Linked DNA regions of Solanum lycopersicum. The protein of the gene in region 2 interacts with the protein of the main gene of each other region in a pairwise test. Links are inferred from orthologs where the notes say so. Each region holds a gene or a part of one and is shown on either strand. Other genes may lie near its edges.

Region 1 (3,759 bases), on a different chromosome or scaffold from region 2:
GTAGTGATAGTAAATTCCTCTCAGCAATCAAGCAGTGGAACTGTTATGTTGGATACTATATCAAAACTAAAAGGTAGTTCATAGGCTACAAACACCTAGAAATCAACCCCTTGTCCACAGATAGCCAGGAAACCTATTTCTTTATTAGTTGCCAAAAAAAAAGACCTAAAAACAAACCCATCACCCTAAAATTAATCAAGAAGATCCACAGGAATACTGACAAACATGATTCTGATCAACAAAATCTCACCTACATTGATAATAAGTTCCAATAATTAAGTAACTTAAAGAGAAATTTGAATAAAGAAAGTTAAGATGATATGAAAAGAATTCATAACTGGAAAATGAATTGAGAATAAACTTCCATAAGGGTATTAAAGAAACAGGCAGAAAAAGCGAGGCAGGGTAGACAAATTAATCAGGGGTTCAAAAAAATATCACTCCCTCCGTTTTAATTTATTTGTCATGTTTTGACTTGGCAAGGAGTTTAAGAAAATAAAGAAGACTTTCAAATCTTGTGGTCTTAAATTAAAGATAGTCAAATGTAACAAAGTGCCCTTTAATCTTCTGGTCTTAAATATGCCATGCGGAAAGTTAATGTTAAAGAGTTACCAAAGAAGGAAAGAGATATTCTTGTTGAAACATACTAAAAAGGATAGGACTAACAAATTGAAATGGAGGGGGTATGATTTTGAACGGAAGTAATTGTTTTATAATATTCTATCCTTTTAACCTTGTGCAGGTGATTGAGCAGGGAGATGAATTATTTCTAGATGAAGGGTCAGAATAAATAAAGAACGTATGAAGAAGAGATCTTATTATGAATGTAAAGAAGTTACCATAAGACCGCCAAAAAATCCATCAAGCAAGACTCTGTTCCAGCTGTCAAAGTAGGAGTGGATTGAAAACTTGGCCTTTGCCGTGAGTGCAACTGAAGTTATTGCCATGACAAGGAAATAAAATATAAATCCTGTCAAGCTAGTAAGTCCCAGAATGCCGGCAATGACACCACCAATGATTGCCATGAATGTGCGGCTGAACAACAGAATGCTCAATGTAAATGGAGATATCCAATGACAAGGAAGAAAATCTACTAGCTTAGAAAGACGAAAAGAACCCATTTTCTTGTTAATATATGATTGATTGCCTGTCTCAATCATATTTTTATTTATCCTTCTGCTCCAACTCTGTGATCAAGTATTACATTTCTTTGTCGACAGTTGCAACACAGAGCTCAGATTTATTTGTTTATTTTTCCTTTTTTTAGATAAGTTTATGGAGCTTGGGGTTGCTTTGCTGTAGAGGCAAAATGACAAGGGTAGTCCCAGGACTTCCGCTAGCATTGGAAACAGGTATTAACTGTTCAATTACTCAAAAAGCTATTACTTTACTGATCAAAAAGAAATTATTCAAAACTACAACTAATTCATTAATTGTAAGTTTAAAAGGTTAAATTCGCCATTAATATGATTACAATCTGCAGTTCTTGGTTTAGGGCATTAGTTTGTTTAATTGGTGATTGAGGTACTTGTAGGACTTTACAGAGATAAAAAACGGATATAGGACTATACGTATCTCCTCTAGCAATTACAGGCAAGCATACAACTGTACCAAGGGCAAACACACTTTCTGTTTAAGGGCAAGGAGTAATAGTCTTGGGTGAAAGGAAGATAGGAAGAAATCAAGGACTGCAACCCAATTGGCCAAAATACATACTAATCATACCAATGTAGAAGTGTAATCCCACAGATGTAAAGAAGCTAGACTGAGGCTACTTAATGAGGTAAGTTATCTAATTAAACTTATACCATATTCTTTATTCTATATCCTAGTGACGTTCCACCGAAATGATGCCTCAGTGAAGGAGTTAAAGCTACATGAGTATATAATCCCTAATTTCAACCAGTTGTTCAGTTGGGCTAACATCAGTGTCACATAATTGAGGATGAAATTCACATCGATAGTCTGTATCAACCTACATCCAGACTTTATAAGAAAAATCAGCTAAATTGTTACTATCCAAAATCATCAAGGAACTATAATTTCAGTCCACCTAAATATGGTGTCAAACTCAAACCAACCTGTAAAGAATAACTTTCATGTTGTTTTGCATATTCTCAGCATTGAAAGTGGGCAAATCATCCATACCACTGGTCGACTTTTCTGTAGATCCGTTCGAGTTATCATGCCCAGCCATCGCGCCTTTTTGGAATTCTACAGCAAACATCAAAATAATAAGAATAGAGAAGTTGAGATGTAGATCGAGAATAGAACTTTGTGGTCACTCACTATCTCAGTTAGAAAGAAGATTGAATTCATCAACATAACAAAATAATTTACCCAAGATATCCTATAAGATAATGAAATACATAAACATTCAGATGTTCTTCCATGGATGTCATATCCAGTTCAATTCAAACTCTTCCCGTTACAATTGATTGATTCTATGATCATAACTAAGAAGTCGAATCATAGCCAGTTCGATTCAAACTACCTCAGTTGGTGGATTCAACCAACACAAGAGAAAATTGAAGTTTCTTCAAGGGCGGCTCAAAACCTCAAAATTACATATCTCAAATTCAGTTCGCTTAAATATGAACACACACTCCGAATCGCAAGCATCCACAGAAACAGTAAATATACATATACATACATAGACGGAAAGAGATAAAAAGAGACAAACCAAACAAATCTGATTAAGGCGATGGCGATGATTACTAATTGTGAGAGCACCGTAAGAAGCAATGGCAGAACGAACTCTGAGATTGAAGGACCAAAATATCCCTCGCTCAACCTCTAGCCTAGTCCTTATACTAAATAGAATATAAGTAAAAGCCTAAAATACTTGTAGTATTAAAAATGATATAAAATTATCATTCATCCATTTATTAACTTCAATATGCGCTTTTCATTTATTTGTTGGCTCTAAAATATCCTTCTCATCCAACTTTGACATCTTTGGGTTCAAAATTAAAATTAAACTTTTTATATATTTTATTAAAATACTTGACGTTCGACTATTGATTACAATTTGATTTATTAATATAATTTATAAATCAAATCACTACCCACTCATTACTAACTAAACCCCACCGAATTAGTAATCCAATTATAATATCAAAATCGTTATAACACTACTAAAACACGACGAAATTATAGATTCCTGAAAATGACATTCAAAATTATTCGAGTCCGTATCGAATTAAGAGGATACTTTCAATAGAATTCTCTTTCAAGATTGAATTAGAAATTTATGATTAAAGGTAAAAAAGCAATGCATCCCCAATTAATTCATGCACTATTTTTAAATATAATTTTATAAATATTTATGATTTGTTTTAAAACCTTTAATATATTATTTTGAAAAAAAGTTACCTATGAAGTAACATCACATAATTGAGACGTAAAAATTATTAAGATGAACATAGTCATACTTTTAAGTTTATCGATAATTTTTATTTAGACACTTGAATGTATAATAATTTACTTCTATAGATATTTTCGCCTAAATTTTTTAAAAAACACTCAGTTGGCAGTAGCTGTTCTATTGTTGCATTAATAATGTGACGGGTTTATTAATTTAGAGGAGTTTAATTAGTAATGGGTGGGTAGTGGATTGATTTATAAATTATACTAATAAGTTAAATTATAACAAATAGTTGAGCGCCACATATTTAAAAAAATATTTAAATAGTTTAAATATAAAACCGTTAAATAAGTGGTCAATTTTGAACCAAAAGGTGGATGACAAGGGTATTT
Region 2 (3,759 bases):
ATCTCATGTTTATGTGTTTTGTGTGAGTTAGTGATATGATATTGTGAAATGTGAATTATGGGTGAACTTACAACGAAATCACTGTAAGATTACTGTAGGTTTACTGTAATGTTCTTGTAAATTGAACATAATTGGTAAATGTGTTCTAATAATAATGTTTGGTGCTTAAATGTGGTTCTTATACTTTTAATATGATGTTTTAATTAAAAAAAAAAAGAGCATGTTTCTCATAAATGTCAGTTTCTCATGATTTTATGCATTAAGTCATACTTAGTACATGTGTTTATACTAATTCCATACTTTTTGTCTATCTCTAAAGGTATGATAAACAGGTGAGAGAAATCTTGGAGCAAGCTTGGAATCTAGTAATCGTTCAAGCAAAGTTGAAGTATGTCCTCACTTGAGTCGAGGGCATACCTATCTTTAGACTTATTTTATTCAAGTATTGTAATAGACTAAGTAATTCTATATTCGTATTGTATGGGCCGTGTCCCAAATATTCTTGTGTTTAAAATTGGCATATGTTGAGACTTAGTATTTTCATATGATATTAATTTCAAAGATGTTTTAAGATATTTCGTGTGAAAAGTTTTAATTTCGCACTACTTTTCATACATATATATACTGAATGATGTCAAAGGCCTTGTACAAGACCTCCGAGAGGTCAAGTACGCCATGTCACACTCCGAGAGTGTCATATCTTCTATGATGTGCTCCGGGGTGTGACAATGTAATTCTTCTAGGTATTCCAGACACTTTGTATGAAGATAATGTTGTATGTATAGCTCGATTGAAGAGAGGATACATCAAAAGAGACTGGACAAAGTACATTTCACTAAAGTTCTTCTTCACATGTGATCGTCTACAAAATAATGAGATAGATCTTGCAAACTTATTTATTAAGCTGTTGCCAATATCAATATTTGAGAAGTTGAGGTATAAGATTGGAATGTGTCATCTCTTAGATGAGTGGATTGTCTATTGAGTTAATACATGAATAACTATTCATATTCCGTAGGTTCTATTAACCTTTATAGATAAGAATGTATGTATTTATTATGATACTTAATATGATGATTTTTGGAATGATTTCTCAACTTAGAAATAAGGTTTTTCTTTCCCCATTATAAAGATGAAAGAAGAAGACATTTGAATAAAATGATCTCTACACTCTATTCCTCATGTATCTTTGTCTATATTATTTCTAGCATATTACTTTTTTTTTTTTTTATAACAAGTACTTCATATTTAATATTATTCTTATATATTCTATTAAATAAATAGTGGTATGTATCTGTATTTTGATGGTATCTTTAGTGAAAAGTCAAAACCCCAATATTCCTTGAAAACCCTTAACGGTGTCGTATTTTACTCGTATCGAGATATCTAGAGTGGAGAGGTTTGAGTTGTAGGAGAGGAGGAGGAAGAAATGGGAGGAGGAGAAGAAGATCAACAGAAATTGAAGAACACAGCAGCAGCAGCGTATGACTACGAGAATGATCCGAGATGGGCAGATTATTGGTCCAATATACTCATTCCTCCTCACATGGCTTCTCGTTCTGATGTCGTCGACCATTTCAAGCGCAAGTTTTATCAACGATACATAGTCAGTATCTTAACTTATTCGAAATCATTCCACTTCACATGGGGTTTACTACTACATTATCTTTTATTAATTAATGTGTTAATCTCGATTACTCTTGTTTATACTTTGTTGGGACTTGGGACTCCGGTTTTTATGTTTTCAAGCCCTAGTCTTACAAGGCTCTTAGTTCTAAATTTTTCTTAATTCAATTTAACCAAAGGGTTTCTGGAAAAGGTTGGGTTTTGGGTAAATCAGTGGCTTATACTTCATTCCAAGTTGAGAGGGGTTCATTGATTATTTGTTATAATGTCTACAATGGATGAATTTAATGGTATTAGCTTGTAACTCTGAGTTGATTGTACACAAATTTCAGGGACTTCTACTCTCTGCACTGAAAATATCTGTAAAATTTTCCAAATATTGCATCTCTTTTCTTTGTGGTGTGGATTGTTTGAGTATGTCATTCTTCAAAATGAAGCTGAGTTTTTAGGCTTTTTTTTTGTTTCAAAAACACAATCCTTTAGTTTTGTCAAAAACTCTATTTTTTGGGGTTCCCAGCCAGAAATCAAAGAAATAAAAAATGAAGTCTACTTAAAATTAAGATTATTGTTAGATGTATACCTTATTTCACCTGATTAATCACCTCATCCTCCCTTTTCTTGGGGGAACAGAGGAAAGTCAGAAGGGAGGCTCCTAATCATGTCAAATAATAGTGTGTGAATACTCCTAGGCTCTTAGCAATGTTTTCCTGATACCAAAATGAGATTTTTAAAACACAATAATGATAAGAGTGGGGAGTCGGTTCAAGTTCTTGAAGTAGCCCTTCTGCAATTTTGACAGATGCTTTAGCTTTGTTGTACTTAAAATACCATTTCAGATATCTGCAGTGGGACACATCTTTACATTTTTGTGTTGATCTTGGGGTATTGCTTTGGTTTGTTTGATTCTATATCCATTATTTTCAGGACCCTGGTCTAGTGGTTGAGCCAATGGCTACCAGCAGTTCGTCCCAACCAGCAAAACCATCAGTTGCTCAACCATCATCATCATCGTCCACACCTTCTAATAACCAGCCAAGACAGCGTAACTCTGGTATGATTTTTTTTTAGTTTCAACTAAATGGGAAGTGCCTTCCTTCTGGAGAAATTATTCACTTCAGATATAAATCTTTGGTTCATTTAAATGCAATTTATGTAATTTTTCTTGTGTAGGTCAAGCTAGTAGAACTTCAGGCACGCCAACTACTCCAACTTCAAATCCGACATCACTTCGCTGGGACCGAAATACTATACAATTTTCAGTGAATGCTTGGGTACTGTATATTCACATGTACACTAGATATGGGAAACATGTGGACATTTTCCTTATAGAAACACAATAATATTGTAGAAAATCATGTTTGAGTTAGAATATTGAAGTTTTTGATATACCGTAGAGATCAAATGGTCAACTTATTATTATTAGCAGTAACGGAAAGGTGGATTATATACAACAAGGGCAGAATCTTCATGCCTTTAAACTAATATATCTCGTGTACCTACATAGGGTAGAGTGTGTCTATGGAAAATTTCAGTATAGGATTTTTCTTCCCAAGGATCTTCTACAACCTTGTTTTCAATTTATTTGTTATTTGAAATCTGGCATGGTCATAAAATTGAAAAAGAAAAGCAGAAAGGTTGTGAGGAAGAGTTGATTTTAGTATCAGTTGGAGACAACTTTGCATAATAGCCTTTTATTTCTCGAGGTCGCTGTGATATCAAAAATAGTATTGGTTTAAGTTATTCTAGTGACTAGATGTCTAGATCTGTGAAAAAAAAAATACTCGTGTACATGTTTGTGTCAGATTTGTTTACTTTAGCCTCATTCGTTAGTTATTCTAAATGTCATGGTGCATTAATTTTTTCTGCACTCCACCCCCACCCCCTCCAAAAAAGTGTCTTTTGTCGTCTGTTGCATAAGTTGGACACATCATAGAAATTCTATGCTAAGACCTCTCGGAAACTTGTGAGTCAAGGTTTCTTGAAGTTCCTATCATCATTTTGCTTCTCCAAGGCTAATTTTTCATTATCATTTCTTCTTGTTTCCTGGTATATTCTCTTGTGCCTTTGAGCTGAAGTTTGGGACACACTGAACACCATATTGATAATTGGATTTGATACTGTTGCATTGGTATT

Evidence for each region. The genes of interacting proteins can lie anywhere in the genome.
Region 1: the proteins of uncharacterized protein (region 2) and uncharacterized protein interact in a two-hybrid assay, tested with the Arabidopsis thaliana proteins (2 studies listed by BioGRID, with this or other methods). The link is inferred for Solanum lycopersicum from reciprocal best matches to the Arabidopsis thaliana genes AT3G02420 and AT5G49540.

The regions. Positions count from the first base shown.
Region 1 is NC_090800.1:62,622,900-62,626,658, forward strand, and holds the start of uncharacterized protein, read right to left. Parts: upstream 2,853-3,759; 5' UTR 2,684-2,852; exon of another isoform or gene 2,341-2,683; intron 2,215-2,340; 5' UTR 2,198-2,214; coding exon 2,082-2,197; intron 1,036-2,081; coding exon 840-1,035; intron 1-839.
Region 2 is NC_090802.1:12,575,198-12,578,956, reverse strand, and holds the start of uncharacterized protein, read left to right. Parts: upstream 1-1,297; 5' UTR 1,298-1,429; coding exon 1,430-1,606; intron 1,607-2,550; coding exon 2,551-2,677; intron 2,678-2,796; coding exon 2,797-2,897; intron 2,898-3,759.